2 linked regions of the Elephas maximus indicus genome follow. The protein of the gene in region 1 interacts with the protein of each later gene in a pairwise test. Links are inferred from orthologs where the notes say so. Each region holds a gene or a part of one and is shown on either strand. Other genes may lie near its edges.

Region 1 (7,489 bases):
AGTTCCTATTCTTCACAATGTTATCTATAATCTGTTATGATCCGCACAGTCAATAAAACACAGGTAAACATCTTTCTGGTATTCTCTGCTTTCAGCCATGATCCACCTGACATCAACAATGATATACCTCATTCCACATCCTCTTCTGAATCCTGCTTGAATTTCTGGCAGGTCCCTGTCAATGTATGGCTGCAACTACTTCTGAATTATCATCAGCAAAATTTGGTGTGATATTAATGATATTGTTGAATAATTTGGGCATCCTGTTGGATCACCTTTCAGGTAGATGTCTTCCAAATTTGTTCGCCTAAACAAGTAAGTGCCTCTGGCGCTGCATTTGTTTCCTGAAACATCTCAATTGCTATGCCATCAATTCCTGGACCCTTGCTATTCGCCAATTCCGTCAGTGCAGCTTGGACTTCTTCCCTCAATACCATTGGTTCTTGATCATATGCTACCTCCGGAAATGGGTGAATGTTAACCAATTCTTTTTGGTACAGGGACTGTCTATTCTTTCCATCTTCTTTTGATGTTTTCTGCATCATTCAATGTTTCCCCCGTTGAATCCTTCAAAATTTCAACTCAAGGCTTGAATTTTTTTTTATCAGTTTTTGCTGCTTAAGAAATGCCAAGCGTGTTCTTCCCTTTTGGTTTTCTAACTCCAGGTCTTTACCCATTTCATTATAATATTTTACTTTGTCTTCTTGAGCTGCCCTTTGAAATCTTTTCAGCTCTTTTACTTCATCATTTCTTCCAATTTGCTTCAGCTGCTCTACATTTAAAAGCAAATTTCAGTGTCTCTTTTGACATCCATTTGGGTGTTTTCTTTCCCATCTTTTTCATGACCTTTTACTTTCTTCATCCCATAACTTGTCTGGTGTTCAGCCATCAGTGTTCAATGCATCAAATCGATTCTTGAGATGGTTTCTAAATTCGGGTGGGATATACTTGAGGTCATACGTTGGTTCTCATGGTCTTGTTTTAATTTTCCTCAGCTTCAACTTGAACTTATGTACGAGCAATTAGTGGTCTGTTCTGCAGTTGGCTGGCCTTGTTCTGAACGCAGTTGGCCCGGCCTTGTTCTGATGGTATTGAGCTTTTCCATTGTCTTTTTCCACAGATGTGGTCAATTTGATTCCTGTGTTTTCCATCTGGTGGGGTTCACAGTGCATAGCTGCCGTTTATGTTGTTGAAAAAAGGTATTTGCAACGAAGAAGTTGTTGGTCTTGCAAAATTCTATCATGCGATCTCTGGCGTCTCACCAAGGCCATATTTTCCAACTACCAATCCTTCTTTGTTTCCAACTTCCACATTCCAATCACCAGTAATTATGAATGCATCTTGATTGCATGTTTGATCAATTTCAGTCTGCAGAAGTTGGTAAAAATCTTCAATTTCTCCATCTTTAGCATTAGTGGTTGGTGTGTAAATTTGAATAACAGTCGTATTAACTGGTCTTCCTTGTAGGTGTATGGAATTTTCCTATCACTGACAGCGCTGTACTTCAGGATAGATCTTGAAACGTTCTTTCTGATGATGAATGCAACGCCATTCCTCTTCAATTTGTCATTCGTGGCATAGTAGACCATATAACTGTCTGATTCAAGACGACTAACACCCTGTCCATTTCAGCTTACTAATGCCTAGGATATTGATCTTCATGCATTCCATCTCATTTTTTAAACTTTCAATTTTCCTAGATTCATACTTCATACATTCCATGTTCCTATTATTAATGGATGTTTGCGGCTTTTTCTTTTCATTTTGAGTCATGTCACATCAGCAAACGAAGGTCCTGAAAGCTTGACTCAACCCACGTCATTGAGGTCAACTCTACTTTAAGGATGCAGTCTTCCCCAGTAGTATTTTGAGTACCTTCCAACTTGAGGGGCTCATCTTCCAGCACTATTATCAGACAATGTTCTGTTATTCATAAGGTTTTCACTGGACAATTTTTTCAGAAGTAGACCACCAGGTCCTTCTTCGTAGTCTATTCTTAGTCTGGAAGCTCCGCTGAAACCTGTCCACCATGGGTAACCCCGCTGCTATCTGAAATACCGGTGGCATAGCTTCCAGCATCACAGCAACATGCAAGCTAGCACAGTATGACAAACTGACAAAAGCATGGTAGAAAAGATTACCATACAGTGTTGAAAACCCCGTGGGGCATCTTTACGGAGTCAGAATTGACTCGATGGCAGTGGGTGTGGTTTTAATTATTAGCTAAAGAGCCCTGGTGGCACAATGATTAGGAGCTTGCTGCAAACCCAAAGGTCAGCAGCAGTTCCAGCCCACCTGGTGATCTGCTCCTGTAAAGATTACAGCCTAGCAAACCCTATGGGGCAGTTCTACTCTGTCACACAGGGTCACTATGAGTTGGAACTGACTTGACAGCACAGGAGAAAAATTATTAACTAGGAACCCCTGTGTGGCACAAATAGTTTATCGCTCAACTATTAGCCAAGACGGCGGTTCAAGCCCACCCAGAGGCACCCTTGGAAGACAGGCCTGGCTACCTGATTCTGAAAGGTCACAGCCTTGAAAATCCTATAGAGCAGCTATACTCTGCACACATGGAATCACCATGAGTAGGAATCAACTCAGCAACGAACAAAAACAACTATTATCTATGTAACCCCAGGAGTTACTTAGCATTCTGAGTCTAAATTAATCTGTTAAATGGAGATAAAGTGACTGCAAAGGTTAAAAGAGATTAAACAAATAAACCATTGCTGTTGACTCATAGTGACCCTATAGGACAGAGCAGAACTGCCCCACAGGGTTTGCAAGGAGTGGATGGTGGACTGGTACTACCAACCTTTTGCTTCGCGGCCAAGCTGTTAACCACCAGGGCTCCAAACGAGATAATGCCTCCAAACAACGTCTACTCCTCAGCACTTCCTCCTCCTACAGCCCCGGTACCTTGAAGGCCCGCTTCTAAGTTCTCCACCCTCTCGTTCATTTCTTCATTCAACAAAATTTGCTCGGCACTTATTGAGTCAAGCGCTGTGAGTCTTCAAAATTCAGTTTGAAACACAGTGCAAATGTGAAAATGAGAGACGGAGCCTCTTTAGCTTCTACATCGGAGCCGCCCAGCTCCTTGGCTCGAACAACTCAGAAGCATCCGAAGACAGGCCTGGCAACCTGCTTCAAAAAGGTCACAGCCTTGAAAACCCTATGGAGCAGCTCCGTCCCCCCCAAGGCGGGGACGTTCCGGGTCTGCTGTCAGTTTCCCTGCCTCGGCCCAGCTCTCTCAGGGTGTTCCTCCCTCAGGCCCCTCGGGCACCAAGCTCCGGTTGTCTGTCCTAGGACACACCCCCTACAACACCGCGGGCCCTGCACGCCCTGCCCCCTCGGCTCCCTCAGACCCCACCCCCTGGCTCCGGCTCTAGTCCCGCGGTCGCTCCGCCGTTCCCGCGCGCAGTACCTGGAGGCCGGTCTGCTTGTTCCAGGTGAAGATGGACCCCGGGTACCCGCTCAGAGCCAAGAGCAGCTCGTGGATCATTCCCACGGCGGACCTCCACTCCCTAGCCACGTCACCCTGTCCTCCAGCGCCCCTCCAGGGGACCACGGAGGCGAGTTCTCCCGCCTCGACGCGTGCACAGGCCGCTGGGACGGGCAGTTCGTCCGGAATCTACCCCGCCGAAACCACTGCTGCGGGAACAGCGGACGGGAAGAGCGGAAGGGGTCGGCGCCGAGTCCCGGAAGTGCGCGGACCCGCCGTGTCCCACCCGCTCGCTCCCGCCGGGCTGGGAGGGAGATGGAGGCGTAGTAGCGGCCGGTGCGCATGCGCCCCTTCTGCCCTGAGGTGCCCGCTCGCACTTCCGGTTTGGGAGCTGGCCTGGGAGGCTGGCGATCTGGGGCTGGAGCCGGAGCTGAGTGGGTGAAGCTGGCCCGGGGGCAGGAGTGCGAGGGGGCTGAGGGAGACGCTCCCAGGGCTGTGTCGGAGAGTGTTCTCAGGGCGCCGTAGCCCGGCCGGAGGCCCGTGTTAGGCAGCGCACGGGGCTCCGAGAGTGACCCGGCCGGAGGGAGCGAAGACAAAGAGGCCGGAACCCCGTACCCGCCGCTCCTGGAGCCGAGTTCCGCGCCGGCAAGCCCCGCAGCCCTCGGAGCCTCTGGCCGGCACCCTGGCTCGTCCTCAGGAGACCCATCCCGACCGTTCCCTGGACTCCCTCTCTACCAACTCAGTGTGACTCTCCCCAAGCCCACCCGGCCCTCGCTTCAGGAGTCGGAGCTGCCTTCTCCCGATGCGCTCGGTTTCCCTTCAGTGGCTCTCGAGTCCTCGCCGAACGGTTCCTCTGCGGAGGGGGAGAAACAAAGACTCGACATTTAGTAATTGATTTTTGTGTGGGGTGGGAGTTGGTAGTCGTGGAGCCGGAGGGGGCGGGGCGGACGGAGAGGGCCCCGGGAAGGACTGCCGAGGTACGGGGGACACAGCTGCGACCCGCTGCTCTCGGCAGGACGGTGACTTGTCTGTAGATCCTCTCGAACTCCAGGTCTCCCATATGGTTCGAACTCACTATGTAGTACTGGTCAAGGGAGCTAAATGGGGTCGGATTTGGGGGAGGTGGGAGAGGAGCAGACACAGTACTCCGTTCTCTGGTGCTTCCCCGGGCTGCCCTGGAGGTCGCCCAGAAACGCAGCTTTTGAAAGGTCTCTCTCCTTCAGCTCACAGCCTTGGCTTGCTGCCCTGAAGATGGTGCTACCTCAGATGGCCAGCTGGAGCATATGGGAAGTCAGGCCAGCCCTGGCAGGATTTTAGACGTATGAATATATTCCTTCTGATAGTGCCATCTCTCTCTACCCTAGGAAGAAACTCCTCTTACAGAGAGACTGCAGGTGATTCTCCAAGGAATGGGAAGATAGGTGTAAGCCCTGGAGCCCAGACCCTTAAGTAGAGGGAAGCTGCTTTCTGCTGTGAATGATGGCCAGACCCACTCTGAGAGGGGATGGCACTAACTCTGAGACCTTCCGACAACGCTTCAGGAGATTCCATTACCAGGAGGTGGCAGGGCCCCGGCAGGCTTTCAGCCAACTCTGGGAACTTTGCTGTCGGTGGCTAAGGCCGGAAGCACGCACCAAGGAGCAGATTGTAGAGTTGTTGGTGCTAGAGCAGTTCCTGGCGGTCTTACCTGGGGAGATCCAGAACTGGGTACAGGAACATTGTCCAGACAGTGGAGAGGAGGCAGTGGCTCTGGTGGAAGATTTAGAAAGACAGCTTGGAAGACCTGGACGTTCGGTGAGAAAGGAGGGGGAGTTCAGAAATGTGTGATCGCAAAAGGGTAAGGGTAACAGCCAGGTTAAGGTATAGATAGGTTTAAAGAGGGGCACAGTCTCCTTCAACGATGCTTATACTTCTGACCCTGGAACAGGTAACTTTTTCATATAGAGTTTGTCTGGAGATGCTACCTGGGTGTATCTTTGCCTACCCTGCCATAATGAATTATTTGTAGCTCATTAATCAGGAATTTTTTTTTAACTTGTAGTTGGGTTAACTATATTGGTCTTTTCATTCTGGAGTTCCAGCTGCTCTAAGCTAACAGTAATGGAATTACTTGTTTGTTATAACCCCCAATCCCTACAACTCTAGCCATGTCCCAGAAGGATGATCTTTTGGGGTATTAATCTCCTCTGGGAATGCCCCCCATTATGACCTTGCAGTGACAATTAATGGGGGTTGTTTCTAGGTCACAGTCTCTGTGAAGGGGCAGGAAGTGCGCTCGGAGAAGATGACACCCCTGAAATCATCACAGGAGTTATTAAGTGTTCGGCAGGAGTCAGTGGAACCCCAGCCCAGGGGTGTACCCAAGAAAGAGAGGGCAAGAAGCCCAGACCTGGGACCACAGGAGCAGATGAACCCAAAGGAGAAGCTCAGACCTTTTCAAAGGAGCGGTGAGGAGTAGATTCATGCGGGTAGATAGGTGCCATTCTGAGCTGGGAGAAATAGGGTTGGGAGTAGTGAGCGGGAAAGGGATTTCAGGACTAAATAGATATGCAATTGTTGGGGACCTCCTGAAGGCATGTAGTTAAGCTCTCAGCCTACAGTAAGTGTTTTTTGTATTTGTACTTTTGATAAGTGCATGAGAGGGTAACTTCCTAGTTTTTATCAGAACTTGGAACTATTTTATTTCCTCTTGGTAATGATAATAGTAGGTCATTATTTTCTAGTTAAAAATTCTTTTCTGTACTTAAAGGCACATCCTCCTTTTAGTCATTTCCGTCTCCAAATGAAGCTGTGTTTATTTTTTAAGCTTTTCCCCGGAAGCTCCATTCTCAGACCTAAGTTGTCATTAACTTCCTTTAACCTAAATGTTAATTGTGGAGAACTAAGTTCTGTGTATTACTCCAGTGAGGATAAGGCAGAACGGGAGCTTTTCCTTCACAAGTTTGCTGCATTTTCTTTCAGTATAATCCAATTGATAATTACTTGATAATTTTTGTTCACCTGTTAACTCCCAGGATTCTTATAGCCTTCCCTATTGGTTTTGTGCCTAGTTGCTGCTGCTTGTAATTGATTTTGTAGAACTTGTTTTTCTTCTTTGAACTCTGTTGAAGTCCATTTTGTATTTTTTTTCTTTGATCATTTCTGTAACTTGTTCAGGTTATTTTGAATTCTGATCTTATCATCCAAGACGTTAGCCTTCTAAGCCAGTTTGGTAATGGCCTTTATTAGTCATCCAGCTCAAATCCCTGAACCCCACCACAGACTGGCAGAATTAAATCAGTTGGTTTTTAAACACCGACAGCATGCTCAGCCCCTTGCAGGTTCTTGAGCTTACAGTGTGACTGAGAACCCAACTATAAATATGTGCTGAGCTGTACTGGAACAGGACCAAACAGTGACTTGTTGCTCAGTGCTTGAGTGCTGTAGGGCTTTGGCCAGGTGAGAGATGAGAGTCTCTGAGACACTGGCAAATACAGCTTCTTGAAGGATGAGTTAAATTTTGATAGGAAGAGAGTTAAAGAGAAAGCACAAAATGGTAAATAAAAAGTTAGCTGTGTTCTGGAGAGAAGAGTCTAATAGGAGTGGAGAATGCATGGTAGACAAGAAGGCCAACAGGCAGGGCAGGGCTAATTCTAATGCTGAAAACTGGAGTGGAGTACGGATCGGACGAGGTGGATTTAGAGAGTGGTTGAAGGCTTTGAACAGAGAAGTGATGTGGTGGCAGCAGTATAGCCTGTGGACTGAGAAGGCAAGGGCCTGGGTTGGGTAGATAAGGGCAGTGAATGCTGCAGTTACCCAGGTTTGAGCCGATGAGGAGTCCGGGCTTGTATGGTGGCAGTAGGGAGGAAGCACCTTTAGAACTTAGTGACCGATTGAATATGGAAATGGATGAGTTGAAGACAAACTCCCTCCTCACATTAAAATCACTGAGTTTGCTTCTCTAGCCCCCGGTGAAGAACTATAGGAGACAGGACATAACTGTGTGCAGCAGTTCCTGCCAAGAAGTGGTGAGGACAGTTAGGGAGCAACTTGGAATAGAATTAT
Region 2 (7,779 bases), on another chromosome or scaffold:
TGGAATGGACTTAGACCCTCTTCATTCCACCTACCCCCAACATTCCTCACCCCATACTGCCCAAAGCCCTCCCTTCCCATCTGCACAAGCTCCGTTCTCCTCTCCTGCCCTCACCACCATCTAGTCCACACCCTTCACCTCTCCCCTCCCACCTGTACAACCTTACCCCTTCCCTCCTGCCCCCACACCCTCACCTCCTGGCAGAAATGCCCGATGCCCCGGATCTTGAAGGAGCCGGCCGGCTGCACGTTCTCACACTTGAGGAGGATGGTTGTGCCCGCCACCTGGGACAGTGCCCAGCTCTCCAGCAGAGGTGTGACTGTGTGGAACTGCTCACCCATCAAGGAGCTCTCCATATGACAGCAGACACTGAGAACACCTGCAGGAAGACACAGACATCAAAGCCCAGGCGGCTCCACCCAAGAGTCCCCTTACCCAGAACAGGGAAGGGGGAGGTAGAGAATCCCCCAAATTAGGCTCCCTTAGCTCTGTCTGCTTCCAAGCTGTGAGACTCCAGCAATTATCCACACCTCTCTGAGCCTCAGTTTCCCCATCAGGACAGGGACCCTTTCATTCTGTTACTGCAGCTGCCCATGTGCTGGGGATGTAGAATGTGGCTGATGCATGGTGATGCATGAATGAATGAGGGAGTGGGGGATTCCTTCATTCATTCAAAAACATTTATGGAGCACCTACTACTGCTACATGGTTCCCAATCTGCAGTCCCAGTAATGGACAAGTTTGCCTGAGCTCACATTCTAGTTGGGGAAACAGACCATAAAATTTCTAATAAGAATGATGGGCATGGGGGTGTTATCTTATGGAGAATGGTCAGGAAAGGTCTCTTTCAGTAATAAAACTTTTAAAAACATTTATTGTGGACAAAGAAGCACAAAAAACCCTACTTTTCTCACCAGAGCAGAAAAGCCTTGGACCAGCCCACCAGTTCCACTGATGACCACCAGGGGGAGTGCTGCAGCCTCCCCAAGCACATACCCATAGGCCAAAGCCCTCAGTTAAGGCTGGGGGTCCCTGCATCAGAGCTGTTCAGACCTCTCGCCCCTAGATCTGACCCCATTCCCTTGTCAGGGTGGCCTCAGGACTCCCCAGGTAGGGCAAAGCCACCTCCTCCCACTTTCATCAATCGCACCCCCTGGTCTGGGCACTGGGGCGGGGGGCATGGGTCTTCACTAGTCCCCAAAGCCAGCATACCCCGGCCCAGGCCTCCCCTCGGCCCTGGAGCCCAAGTACATGGGCTTTGGGGACAAGCAGAGACCAAAGTTAGTAACCAGCTCTGACTGTATGACCCAGACAAACACCTTAACCTCTCTGTGTCTCAGTTTCCCTTTCTGTGAAGTGGGGGCAATAACAGTCCCTAGTGGAAACCCTGGGGGGGTAGTAGTTAGGTACTACAGCTGTTAACCAAAAGGTCAGCAGTTCAAATCCACCAGGTGCTCCTTGGAAACCCTGTGGGGCAGTTCTACTCTGTCCTATAGGGTCGCTCTGAGTCAGAATTGACTCGATGGCACTGGGTTTCGTTTTAGTTTGTAGTCCTCAGCCTGAGTAATTTGGAGATGTTCTAACAACCGGGCTGAGTACTTTAGAGACGTTGTCTCAGTGGGGCCTCACTCTAGCATCTATACAGGACACCTATGCAGTTCAGGCCCTGTCCTCTGTACCTGGGTACCATGGTAAACAAGACCAAGTTTGCTCTTGGAGCTGACTTACAGTCTGATGGGGGAGATCAGCATTTAACAAATAATCATGTAGATAAACGAAATAATTAGGCATGGTGAAAACTGTACCTAGGGAAACAAGTACATAGGGATCTGTGAAGGAGAAGAACCAGGGGACCTACTTAGGGGAGAGAAGTAAGGTGGCCTGAGAATGAACTACCCATACAACAAACTGGATGAAGTGCTTGTGCGTTACAGGGTCACTGGGAGAGTTAAATGAGGCCATAAAAGCACTGTGCCTCACGTACAGAATGTGCTTAGTAAATGGTGGCCTTTATCATCATTTCAAAGTCACAATGATTACAGCAATAGCTAATAGCAGTGTGTGATTTACTATGAGCCGGACACTGTGCCAAGCACCTTCTGTATTATTTCATTTAATCCCTACAACAACCCTATGAGATAGGTTACATTACTACGTCCATTATATAGTCAGTGAAACTGAGACCCAGAGGTTAAGTAACTTGTCCAAGGCCACAGAGCTAGAAACGGCACAGCCAGGATTCAAGTGCAGGCATTCTGGCTTTGGTGTCTGTGCTTCTAATCACTATGCATATCTCCCTTTATTATTATTATATTTAATAATTAATCGCCAGTTGTCCTTAGGAGCCAAACTCTCCTAGCTCGACCTCCAGGTTTCCCCAGCCCTCTTAGTAATACTGACCACCCACAAAAGGACAGCAGGCATCAGTTAAATGGGTAACCACAAGTTGCCAACAGCCTTGTCAAGCCCAGACTCCATCAGGGTCCCAGGCCAAAGTCAGGGAATGGGTCCCTCCCAGCCTGAGGTCTGGGGCCCAGCAGCTCTCACTGTGTGAGACAGGCCCTGGGGCTGAGCTGGAAGCACTGGGCCCACGCTGCCGCGGAGTAAAGGGCTGGGAAACATGGGCTCTGTGTGACCTCTCAGTGCCTCATTTGCAAATTGGGGGAAAGGCCTCTACCCTTTTCAGAGTCCCTGGGTGGCAGAAACAGTTAAGTGCTCAACCTGAAGCCAAAAGGCTGGCAGTCCCGTAAGGCTGGCAGTTCAAACCCACCCAGAGTTGCCTCAGAAGACAGGCCTGGCAATCTGCTTCTGAAAGTTCCCAGCTCTGAAAACCCTGTGGAGCAGTTTCATTCTTACACCCTGTACACGTGAGGACTCCATGAGCCGTATTTGACTTGAGGGAAACTAACAACAACACCCCTTTCCACCAGTCTTGCTCCCCGCCCCCCACTCCCTTTCAGTCCCTGGGGCCTTTTCCCGTAGGTCACCATTACTGGCACCAGGGCTGGGAAACCCCGGGCTGGCCCTTGGCTGGCAGATTGCCCGGCCCCCACCCCTCTGGCCAGCAGAGGGTCCCCAGTGCCTACCTTCTTCTTCAGGGCAGGCAGGGTGCAGGGTACCCTGAGCTGTCCCAAGGCTCCTGGTGGGGAGTAGGCCGCTGTCACTCCCTCTCAGTTCCCCCCACTCAGCCTGGAGTCACAGACACCACTGCACACCCTCCCCCCACACACGTGGAGAGGCCCCTCACTTCCCAGCCCGGCAGAGTCCAGCTGTGCTCAGCCCTGGCCTGCTGCCCGCCTGCTCCCAGGACACCAGCTCTGCCCAGCTTCCCGCTGCCTGAAGTGGCCTTGGCCCCGCCTCCCATGTTAAAGGGCCAGTCCCAGCTCCCAAGGCTCAGGACCGAAGAGGAAAGGGGACGAGAGCAACCCACACTGCCTCCCTATCCCACAATGCCCTGATGAAACTGAGGCTCAGAGAAGGAGCCCGCTTGGCCAAGCCACTCAGCCACAAGGGACAGAAACCTCCTTTGCCCCCCACCCCGGACTACAGTTTTCGTGACACATCTCTAAATCTTCCTCCAGCTCCGATGCTCTTCCTGGACGCCAAGCCGTTCTCCCTGGACCGTTGTTGGTGTCAGCTTAGGTGCGAGACAGGTTAGGAAAAACAAGGACAAGGATCAGCGAGCCATTTTTATCTGGCCCCTCTTTATCTCTGTTATTTTACATTCAACATAGGAAGCCAAACAAACACCTGTTGTCCAAATAAACGACTCTTGCCATTCATTCATTCATTTAACAAATTTTTTCTGGACACCTACTATGTGCCATGTCCTGGGACTCTTAGACTCAAAGAAGACAGCTTGTCCCCTTCCCTCCCGAAGCCTAATGGGGCCCTTGAAGAGCAATTAGTGTCAGTGCCATCAGAAGGGGGCAGCAGAGAGGGAGTGACGGTGGGAGCCCAGAAAAGGAAACTCACCTGGCCCTGGAGGGCTGGGAAGGTTTCCTGGAGGAGGGTAAGTCTGAGTTGAGTCAGGTATCAGGGAGCACGGAGTGCAAAGGTCTAGAATTGAAAGATTGATGTATTTCTGGACAAAGAAGGCAGGGGTAGGGCTGGAGAGGAGGGCAGGAGCCAGAGTCCACAGCGTGCCTGGGCCAGTCAAGAGTCTGGGCCTTATCCGGGGCACTAGGAAACCACAGAAGGCTTTAAGCAGGGAGTGACATGATCAGATTCACATCTTGCCTGTATCACCATCTCACTGGGTGAACCTGAGCCAGTCCTGCCCATCTCTAGCCCTCAGTTTCCCCATCTGTAAAGTGAGAGGACCAGCAAGGACTTGGCAGCCCAGGTGTTCTGTGTCCTTCTTTGATTGCATGTAACTGCCCCAGGTTTGATGATTAACTCCTGGCCCCTTGGGGTCAAGTCGAACTGCTTGGCCAGAATCCTTGAAAGGACCTGGCAACTTCACCATCATTCTCAGTATTAAACATGCACCAGTCCTAGTCTGATGTCCTGTCCTGGACTAGGTGCTGGGGACACGGGGGCAAGTGGAGGGGAAAGACCGAGTTCATGTCCTGAGACGGCCCCCAGCCTTGAGGGGAGAGGAAGACACCTAGTCCAGTGACAACTCCAAAACCCTCTTGGAGGACAGAGGGCGGCTGGGGGAGGGGGTATCAGGGAAGACTTCCTGAAGCAGGCAGGACCTTAGCACACAACTGAGGCTTGGACAAGGAACATGGCAGCTGCATTTATTGCATGCCTACTGTATGCCAGGCCCTTTCATGCTGACCAGCATATTCCAAAAGCTTGTTTTTTTTTTGTTTGTTTGTTTTAAATAATTGGATATTTCTTTCTGTGTTGGGAGTTTCATATACATATATCTGTTGTGCATTGAATTGTGTCCCCCAAAATATGTGTCAACTTGGTTCGGCCATGATTCCCAATATTGTGTGGTTGTCCTCCACTTTGTGATTGTAATTTCACGTTAGAGGATTAGGGTGGGATTTTAACACCCTCACTATTTTTTTTTTACTAAGGGCACATCCCTGATCCAATGTAAAGGGAGTTTCCCTAAGGTGTGACCTGCACCACCTTTTATCTTACAAGAGATAAAAGGAAAGGAAAGTGAGCGGAGAGGAGGGGACCTCATACCACCAAGAAAGTGCTGAGAGCAGAGCATGTCCTTTGGACCCAGGGTTCCTGGGCAGAGAAGCTCCTAGTCCCGGGGAAGATTAATGACAAGGCCGACAGAGAGAGAAAGCCTTCCCCTGAAGCTGACACCCTGAATTTAGACTTTTAGCCTACTTTACTGTGAGGAGATAAATTTCTCTTTGTTAAAGCCATCCACTTGTGGTTTTCTGTAACAGCAGCACTAGATAACTAAGACAGTATCTATTTATATGTATCTATAAAAAAAAAAAAGTATCTATGTATAAGTATCTATGTATATGTATCTATATACATATACATAGTCCTGGATGGTGTAAATGGTTAACACGCTTGGATGCTAACTGAAAGGATGAAGGTTTAAGTCCGCCCAGAGACACCTCAGAAGAAAGGCCTGGAGATCTACTTCCAAAAAATCAGCCATTGAAAACCCTGTGGGTCAGAGTTCTACTCTGTCGCACATGGAGTCACCATGAGTCAACTTGACGGAAACTGCGAGGTCTATGTATATGTTGTTGTGTGCCATCGATTCCGACTCATAGCGACCTTATATGGCAGAGTGGAACTGCCCGTCCCATAGGGTCCTCTAGGCTGTAAACTTTACAGCAGCTCACCAGGTCTTTTCTCTTGTGGTGCCACTGGTGGGTTGGAGCCGCAAGCCTTTCAATTAGCAGCCGAGTGCTTAACTATTGCACCACCGGGGCTCACTTGCTTGTTTGCTCCCTCTCCCTCTCTCTCTCTATATATATAATAATTTCAAATCCATAATTTCATGGATATTACTGCTTAGGAAGAAGCTAAAGCAGGCATTAAAGTTTGAAAAGGGAGTCTGTTTAAAGGAAAATATTAAGTTAAGGCTAGTAGTTTCTAGCATGGCAAAGCAGTATTGCTTAACGGTTTGAACACAGACCCAAATACCAGCTCTGTCACCTACTGGCTGTGTGACCTTAGTTTTCTCAATGGTAAGATGGTGATCAAATGTTACTAATGTTTAATTGGTGTGAGAGTTAAATGAGGTAATATCTGTAGAACATTGAGAACAGTAACAACTACTGCTGCTGTTGGTATTATTACTACATAGAAGTTATTGTTGTTGCTGGGTGCCATTGAGTCAGTTCCAACTCATAGCGACCATGTGTACAACAGAACAAAACACTGCCTGGTCTTGCATCATCCTCACAATCGTTGCAATGTTTTAGCCCATTGTCGCAGCCACTGTGTCAATCTATCTCACTGAGGACCTTCCTCTTTTTTGCTGACCCTCCACCAAGCATGATGTCCTTCTCCAGGGACTGGGCCCTCCTGATGGCATGTCCAAAGTACGTGGGATGAAGTCTCACCATTCTCGCTTCTAAGGAACATTCTGGCGGTTCTTCTTCTAAGACAGTTTTGTTCATTCTTCTGGCAGTCCATTGTATATTCAATATTCTTCACCAACACCATGATTCAAATGCATTAAATCTTATTCATTGTCCAGTTTTTGCATGCATATGAAGTGACTGAAAATACCATGACTTGAGTAAGCTGCGCCTTAGTCATCAAAGTTACATCTTTGCTTTAATGGACTTTTGACTCATGCCACATCATCAGATGAAGGTCCCAAAAGCTTTGCTCCATCCACGTCATTAAGGTCAACTCTACATTGAGGAGGCAGCTCTTCCCAGTCATCTCTTGAGTGCCTTCCAACCTGGAAGTTGGCACTATAACAGACAATGTGCCGCAGGTATTCATAAGGTTTTCACTGGCCGATTTTTCAAAAAAAGTAGACTACTAGGTCCTTCTTTGTCGTCTGTCTTAGTCTAGAAGCTCCTCTGAAACCTGTCCACCATGGGTGACCTTGTTGGTATTTGAAATATTGGTGGCATAGCTTTCAGCACCATAGCAACACACAAGCCACCAGAGTATGACAAACTGACAGATGAGTGGTGGTATACAGAAGAAGTGACACAAAATATGGCAAAAAATTGTGAAGGTGACACGTGAATGTCCAAAGTTTGGGGACATGAACTCGTTACCTCACAGAATCCTTACACAACCTGGAAAGGTGGGTACTGCAATGAATCCTACATTGTGGAAACAGACTCAGAGAGGCCAAGTTGCTTCCCCAAGGTCACACACCAGAGGCAGAGACAGGACTCAAGTCCAGATGGACTTGGTTGCCAAAGTTCCTGGCCTGGGTGATGGAAAGGGTGGGGAGAGGACAGGGTGGCAGCTTCAAATGAGGCTAGAGAGGTGGGCAGGTCACTGACCTGTCCCTTCTTAGAGCTGTGTTCGTCAGACAGCCCCGTCCCTGACACCTCAGGCCATCAAGCACCCACCCTGGCCAGTCATTCCCCAGGGTTATTCATTAAGCTTCATTTCACCATCTTCACCCCAGCTGGCTTTCCCGTCCACCCGGGCAAGGGAACTGCGTGGAGAGGCAGAACAGAGCCTCCAACATGGCGCTTGGCCATCCTGGATTTGCAAGTTTAACCTTGAACTCTGTGTCAAATGCTTTCTTAGTCATAAAGAATTCCCAGAAAACCCAGTGCCGTCAAGTCAATTCCGACTCACAGCGACCCTATAGGACAGAGTAGAACTGCCCCAAAGAGTTTCCAAGGAGTGCCTGGTGGATTC

What was found. The genes of interacting proteins can lie anywhere in the genome.
Region 2: the proteins of TUBGCP4 (region 1) and SDSL interact in a two-hybrid assay, tested with the Homo sapiens proteins (2 studies listed by BioGRID and IntAct). The two-hybrid records come from large-scale screens. The link is inferred for Elephas maximus indicus from reciprocal best matches to the Homo sapiens genes TUBGCP4 and SDSL.

The regions. Positions count from the first base shown.
Region 1 is NC_064828.1:12,617,772-12,625,260, forward strand, and holds the start of TUBGCP4 (gamma-tubulin complex component 4), read right to left. Parts: upstream 3,513-7,489; 5' UTR 3,506-3,512; coding exon 3,428-3,505; intron 1-3,427. Other genes in the region: ZSCAN29 (zinc finger and SCAN domain-containing protein 29), read left to right, coding at 4,922-5,239, 5,688-5,892. UniProt on the Homo sapiens protein: Component of the gamma-tubulin ring complex (gTuRC) which mediates microtubule nucleation.
Region 2 is NC_064840.1:11,502,182-11,509,960, reverse strand, and holds the start of SDSL (serine dehydratase-like), read right to left. Parts: upstream 3,322-7,779; 5' UTR 3,087-3,321; intron 380-3,086; 5' UTR 357-379; coding exon 195-356; intron 1-194. UniProt on the Homo sapiens protein: Catalyzes the pyridoxal-phosphate-dependent dehydrative deamination of L-threonine and L-serine to ammonia and alpha-ketobutyrate and pyruvate, respectively. Also exhibits racemase activity towards L-glutamate and D-glutamate.